Macaca fascicularis: one gene and its partner. Each later gene encodes a partner of the first gene's protein in a complex. Links are inferred from orthologs where the notes say so. Each region holds a gene or a part of one and is shown on either strand. Other genes may lie near its edges.

Evidence for each region.
Region 2: the proteins of TNKS (region 1) and USP25 are in contact, whole or in part, in a crystal structure (PDB 5GP7), measured with the Homo sapiens proteins. The link is inferred for Macaca fascicularis from reciprocal best matches to the Homo sapiens genes TNKS and USP25. Residues at the interface, in NP_003738.2 of Homo sapiens: Arg836, Ser838, His842, Leu843, Gly846, Tyr847, Leu871, Asn876, Ser879, Tyr880, His882, Asp900, Trp902, Phe904, Glu909, Gln912, Lys913, Gln934, Glu935; in NP_037528.3 of Homo sapiens: Ser1046, Ser1048, Arg1049, Thr1050, Pro1051, Ala1052, Asp1053, Gly1054, Arg1055.

Annotation. Positions count from the first base shown.
Region 1 is NC_088382.1:11,155,739-11,159,387, forward strand, and holds part of TNKS (poly [ADP-ribose] polymerase tankyrase-1), read right to left. Parts: intron 2,998-3,649; coding exon 2,760-2,997; intron 2,065-2,759; coding exon 1,982-2,064; intron 1-1,981.
Region 2 is NC_088377.1:31,489,259-31,493,007, forward strand, and holds the start of USP25 (ubiquitin carboxyl-terminal hydrolase 25), read right to left. Parts: upstream 2,648-3,749; 5' UTR 2,241-2,647; coding exon 2,196-2,240; exon of another isoform or gene 1,946-2,195; intron 1,829-1,945; exon of another isoform or gene 1,719-1,828; intron 1-1,718. UniProt on the Homo sapiens protein: Deubiquitinating enzyme that hydrolyzes ubiquitin moieties conjugated to substrates and thus, functions in various biological processes including inflammation and immune response.

The sequences.
Region 1 (3,649 bases):
GTAATTAGAATTAAGGTCTTCTTTTAGTCCAATGCTATCCCTACTCAACTGTTGTTATTAAGAGCATTAAAGATGAACTATAATGAAAAAATGTAGCTAAAAAAAAGAAAAAGCAGAAGAAAGTCTTAACAGTATAACTGATATAAAATAGAAAAAAGACCTGGTTTTTAAGTTAACTCCAAATTGACTATAAGCCTAGAAGGGAACCATAGTGGGCCAAAGGTGCGAGTGAAATATTGGAAAATTATGTCATATAAAGAATACTTGAAAAAACAGATGTATTCTAAAATAGGGGAAGATGTGTAGAGGTAGGTGGTTGAAAGGCTGACACCTCTGATAAGTTGACTAGGTCTTAAAAAGATATAAAGGGACACATTGTGTTGTAGTGGGCTGAATGGTGGCCCTCAAAATGATATGTCTATGTTCTAATCCCCAGAACCTATGAATGTCATCTTCTTTGGAAGAAGAGTATCTGCAGACAAAATTATGTTAAGGGTCTAGACATGAGGAGATTATACTGGTGGCCTCAAATTCAATGCAAATGTCCTTAGAAGAGATACAGAGGACAGGAAGGCAATGTGAAGATGGAAGCAGAGACTGGAGTAGCGTGGCCACAAGCCAAAGAAGCTGCCAACCATCAGAAGCAAGAAGAGGCATGGAATAGATTCTCCCCTACAGCCTCTGTAGGGAGTATAGTCCTGTAAAACTGAATACATATGTAGACTGGAGATTAGATCTCTGTGCAAAACAGGGTGAGCATAAGCCCAAAACAAATGAATTATACCTACCAGCAGTTTTTGGCACACTTTAAGTTACAAGCATTCTATTACACCTGTCCCAAATTGTAACAAGGTATCTTCCCTGGCTAGAGGACTAACATGGGTGTTATTATACAAGGGCGATCCCTACACCTGGGAGAATAACTAAATTTTCTCTAAACACCTTTTCCATTCTAAAATTTCATGTATATCAATAGTCCATTTAAATTCAGGACTTACCAGCATTCAATATTTAAAGTTGACCATAATGATGAAAGCATACAATATTACAACTCCTTATACTGTATGAAAACAGTAAAACAAACAGAATAATCCTAAATTCATAAATGCCCTAATGATGACTCCATCCTTAGACCCTCACAGACATTTAAGATGGATCCCAAAATAGGGTGGGTCTATTGGAATGTATGGCCAACTTTTGGTTCAAGATTATTTAAGATTCTAAGTGGACAAGAGAAACTTCATAAAGGGGCGATTCTTAAAAGGTGCACTTGTCTAAGTACTACTGTGCTTTCCAAATTAATGGGCAACTGCTTCAGGAGCCTAGTCACGTGAATAATGAAATGAGATGAATAAAGACTGACACTTTTCGGAAACAAAACAACCAAGGACAATTACGAAAACATTCTTTTGAGGTAGTTGCATGGTCAAAGCTTTGACATGTAATAAAATGCAAAGTGCTAGGCTGCTTATAAAGATAAAACAAAATAAAGACTCTCAATTGTTAGACAATTTTGGGGAGAAGTATAAAATACTGGGCTCCTCTGGCTTCTTATAGAAATGTGTTGTGGGTTTAAAAATAGCTCATAAGAAGCAAAAGAGAAAAGAGGTGGGTGGCAATTAATAATTCTTTTTTTTTTTTTTTTTTTGAGATAGGGTTTTACTTTGTCATCAAAGCTGAAATGCAGTGGCACAATCACAGCTCACTGCAGTTTCAAACTCCTGGGCTCATGTGATCTTCCTGCTTCAGCCTCCCAGCAGCCCAGTAAGTCACCATGCTCAGCTAACTTAAAAACATGTTTTCGGTTTTTTTTTGCAGAGATGGGGGTCTCGCTTTGTTGCCCAGGCTGGTCTCAAACTCCTGGGCTCAAGCAATCCTGCCTAAGCATTCCAAAGTGTTGGGATTAAGGTGTGAGCCACTGCATCCAGCCTAATTCTTAGTATTTAGTTTAAATGACTCAAATATATAAAAGAGTGTTTACCTGTTCTGTTTCAAAGATATCCCGAAGGTGTTCAAGGCCAAGGCTTTTTAGAAATTGGCTGATATTCATGTCAAGACCGGTAACTAAAACAGAAACATATTCAAGATTCTCAGAAAGAATTCTCTAAATATAAAGAAAATTTCAGTATCCATTTAAAGACATGACTCTGACAACCTTGGCTGTCAGATGATTTTACATGGCATAAAATAATACAGAATACACAGATTTAATTCAGACACTTTATTTCTCAAGTTGATTGAGAAATAAAAGCAGAGCGTTTTATCTTCATCAAATTAGTATTTGTATCAATTCTAATATGGTTAGAATATAGAATTATAACTTATTGTAATTTATAAAAATATAGAGAATACTAATTTTAAAATATTATAGTATAATATTTATACTATAGAATGCTACTTATATAGAGAAATCTAAAGCTTTTAATGAATTAAAAAATCTAAATGTATCAGCTATCATTTTAGTTTTCATTCCTGAAATGACCTCTCAGTTGTGTTCTGACATAATTTCAATATAAGTGGTTCAATAAGATGCTGGTTGTAAACAGATGCTCTAGAATATACAGAAGTAAGAACAATGGCAATGCCAAGAAATGTGGCAGTCTTCTATGAAGAAATATTTCTTATAAGATGTTGTGTGTATGAAAATTTACAGACAGGACGTCTCTAATGGAGGCGTTCAATAATTATCAATAGAAAAAAGTAATTCTGCTCCACTAACAAAAGGTATAAATAAATAAGCATTCACGGGGTCTACTCACCTTCTCCTTCCTTCCTTTCTGTTCCCGCGGCGCCATCCCCTGCGTTGGAGGCTCCTCCTACAGCCAACTCTGCTAAAGGGCCAGTGAGGTTGTCTATGCTGCTGGCAGCAGAGAGGCAGGAGGGGGTGGATGCTGGTGAGATCAGAGAGGCACTCACTACAGTAGCCTGAGGTTTAAAACAGGTAGGTAAGGCCTCTGGGGGCATGGCATCTATCAGCAAAGCTCTGATATCGTCAGCCTAAAAAAATGATTAAAAAAAAAAACGTGAAAAGACTATATATTGAAATGGTAAGTTTTTCACTAAGAACCAAATGCTTTGTGGATTTTTTCCTTAATGAATGCCTCATTATCTATCCCCTTCTGGTTTTTGATCATTCCTTCTCCTATCCACAGCTTAGAGTTTCAGTAGTTTCAGTAGACAGAATTGGAGAAACCATGTAATTTTTAAAAATATTTCTTCTTTCATTTAAAAAAAAGCACTTTCAGTGTTAACTGTCACCCTTCTTTAGAAAAATTTCCATATTTACTATATTTTGTTTATGTTTAAACAGCTATAATAATCTGGTTATTTACACTTAATAATGTCATGTAAAATTAGCATCTGGTGAAATTTCAAAGGGATGACACTCTTAGCTCATTTATTCATAAACTTTACAGTTTTTAAGTATTAGATGCAACTGCTTTTCGAGTATGCGGGAGATAGTCTCCAGAGACAGCCAGCCATCAATTCCTTCCTCCCGACATGCATGCCTCCCCTTGAATTTCTACCCACCTTGAATGTGCTTTGCCCTGTGAGTTGTCTTGCCCAATAGAATGCAGAAGTGATGTTCTGAGGCTTCTGAGCCAGGCTTTAAGTGGATTGGCAGTGTCTACTTTTACTCTCTTAGAAG
Region 2 (3,749 bases), on another chromosome or scaffold:
CGTACACACAATTTTTTAAGGTGAGAAGAAAACTGGCTAAAATGTTGGCTATGCAATATACACTACACACCTCTCCTTTTAGATAATCCATAAAGTGTCTGAGTAAAAACAGACTTTCACTTTTGTTTCTTCTAAGTGTGAAGTTCACTTCCTAGTTACCAGTTTTAAGTGCGCTTCCTGGTTACCAGCTTGATGGATTTAAATCTGTCAACTTATTGAGGTAGATGGTTTATTTATATCCATATAAATATTTTTAAATAGTTCTAATATGAGTAATAAAGCAATCGTGTATTAATATGGAAAGCAAACACATTTAAGTGTTTCTTTTGTAAAACAATCTAAGTATTATGGAAGTATAAAAGCTTCTCTAAAAAAAAATCCCCAATAACAATGAAATGATCTAAAACACACCCATACTAAAAATAACATCATAATGATATTTTGAATTAACTACTCCCTTTGTGTGGGGAGGGGATTAATTAAAGTAGGAAATTGGACTTGACAGCCAAGATCATTTTCGTTAACTTGATTCTTGATTCTACAATTTTATGCATAACCTCTGAACCATGCAACAGAGCCTGCAGTTACTTAATGCAGTTCAGTCAAAATCAAATGAAAAAAAAAAAAAAAAATCCCAAACTTACAAAGTTCTTCCCATTGTTCAAACTTAGGAGATGTGAAAAATTCGTATTTCTCACTTTGAAACAGACTTTAATATTCAACACTGAAGACAATTATAAACAAATAGTACCATACATATTAAACAGTGCTTAGTATTCACATGACCATATGGTCTTTCGTAAGCCTTAAGTCTTTAAAAACTAAATTTGAAGGTATTCAAAATAGAATAGGGAGGATTAGGAAGTAAACTCTTTTAAACTCTCATTATTAAGTCTTGAATTATTTCACCGTAAATAAAGTGCAGTGTGCAATATCCTTCTAACTTTACCAGTAATATCAACTAACATACGAGTCTCAAAAACTTTCCCAACGTGCCTAAAATAACAATGCACTATCCTTGCTTTCCAAACTTCTTGAGTATCTTCGACTACTTTAAAGCAGTATCATAAAATTCTAAAAATAATCTCAAGGCAAAAATTTAGCAGGCTGTATGTAGACAGCCCATTTTAGAACAGGTCTTATTGCAAAGTCAAGCACAGGTAGAATATCGCTACACCAAAACTACACCAGGGCGGGGCATTCATTACTCACCCAGATTAACCAAACACAACTCTGGTGGTTGATCACAGTAAACCCTAATTGTCCCCGTAATTCCAACACGACTAAGGCACGGTTGACCCCTTTTGCCCAAAATGCTTTTCACGCAAATGAAAAATTTAAAAAAAAAATTAAATTATGGCCAACTACTCTTCAGAATATGGTGCAAGCCATGATAGTGCACTTAAGATTCTGAAAGCAAAGTCTAAAATAGCAGAATGATCTCTCACTATTCACTTTAAAGATACAAAGCTTCACAGTTTTTTTTAAATGGTTTTCTTTAGTGAGTGACCATTTGAATGTGTGACTGATGCAAGAGTAAAGAGTGAACGAAGGAACAAGGTCAAACTTAGGGGACAAAAGATTCCTGGAATAACATGGCCAGAAAGGTTTCCTCTCTTAGAGACAGTTACCATATTGAAAAAAAAAAAAAAAGCAGAAAAGAAGAAGAAGAAAAAAGGGAAACCTTAAAAGGAAAAGAAACCAAGCAAATCACCTACTTCTAGAGTCCACCTGGTCAACACGACTGCCCCGCAAGGCAGGTAATTCGATTTTGCTGGAGACCGTTTTGCAAAACAGCAGGCCTGTAACACTACTACCTTCGAAAGACAAAATGGGTTCAGAAAGGATGACAACTGGCTCTTCTTTCTTATTTAAGGGGAGAGAATAAAGTTTCATTAAGAAGCCACACAGAGCACTGTAGGAATGTGAGGGTCGCTCTCAATACCTGGCACCGTCTGCTACGGGAAAACAATCGGCAGAAGGAAGTGGACTGAAGCCCGCAAACTACACTCTGCTTCCCACACGCAGCTGGGCACTGGGCGCGACGCCCCCGAGGCGATGGGCAGGGGCGGGGGGTGACGGTGGAGGAAGCCGGGGACGGCGGCGGCGGCGAGGCCGGGGCGCCCGGCCGCGGCGGGGGAGGACAGCCCGTCGGAAGGAGGAGTGGGGCCCGCCGGCTCGCGGGCTCGCCTCACCTTCTGCGCCGCGCTCTGCTGCAGCACGTTCTGCTCCACGGTCATGGCCCCCGCGGCGGCGGCGGCGGCGCCCGGCTCCTCGCGCCTCCGCCGGCCCTGGCTGCCGCGCTCCGCCGAGCTCCAGGGAGCGGCGCGGACGGCCGGGGAGGACAGCGCCCCCGCCAGCCAGGCGCGAAGGCGATGGCGGCCGGCGTGCGCGGGCACCGCGGGCAGGCGGCGAAGCGCCGACTGCGAGGGCCACGGCGGCCGCCCCACGTCTCCACGCGGCCCGCCTCAGCGCCGCTCGTCCGCGGCGGCCCGGGCCATGAGCGGGCGGAGGACGCCGGGGCGCGGGAGAGCGCGGGCCAGTCGGGCGGCGTCACGCGTTCGCGCGCTCCTTAGCTGGCGGCTCGCTGCTCGCGGGCCGCTTTAGGGAAGGGAGAGAGGGGACGGAGGGAGCGGCCGCCCGGAATGGCGCTGTCCTCCTCCCTCTGTGAGTCCTCCTCCCTCCCCTCCCCTCCCCTCCCCCACGCGCCGTCCCCGCCCCCGCCCAGCGGCTCCTCCCCCGCAGAGCCCCGCCCGCCGGCCGCCCTAACCCTACATTGTGACCCTCCGGGCGGCGGGGCGGGGCGGGGCCGCCATGGAGCCCCGCCCCTCCCGGCGCGGGCCGGCGTTCCCGGGTGGGGCGAGGGCGCGCCCGGCTGCCCGGCCAGGGAGCCGCCCCTGCGGCAGGTTGCGCGACGCTGGCGCTGGGCTTTGCGAAGCGCGGCTGGAGGCCGGAGGGCAGTGTTCCTGCCTGCGCCCAGGGTTTGTCGGATCCGTAGCTTGCCCAAAGCCTCCAAAGCAAACACTTCCCTGCATGCCCATAACGTCCCAAAACTACCTAGGGTCCCGAACTGCGGCCTCTTTCTGTGTCACGCGTTCTCTCCCCTCACCTTTCTAGGAATTTCACAAGCCTTGAACTTGCCTGAAGGGAAAAGTCAAATAAGCAAAGGATTGCCAGAAATCTTTATGCTGGGAAGTACTTTTCTCCTTAACTAATCATTACGTAAATGAATATAGACATTTTCCATCTACTTCATTCATTCGAATATGTGTCAGTCACTGCTAGGCTCTGGAAAAATAAAGTTTATTTTCCCAAGACTTAATATAAATGAAATAGGATATATGTAGCAAACAACCTTACAAAAATATCACTGCCTAGATGATACATAATTCTAATATCCCAGTTGCCAAATTAAGCAAACAATTAACTACCATGCATGGAATACTTGACTATATATGGAATTGCAAGGAAAACCTAACATTAAGAAAGCAATCTCTAGCCACAAAAATATCTCGAGTTCCAGGAGCTAATCTGGGAACGGAGGTGAGAGTGCAGCAGTGTGGGGAAAGAAGTTATCAATGCATATTGTCACAAATAGAATACACTTGAAAATCCTGGTATAATTTTTAATCCAATGACAAGGAAAGCAAGCTTGGTAAATGCTAATTGAAATAGTATGTGGTGTTATTTAATAATCACGGATAATAGTAGCTCTTAAGGCTTTGTAACAGTTATGTGCACTTTACATC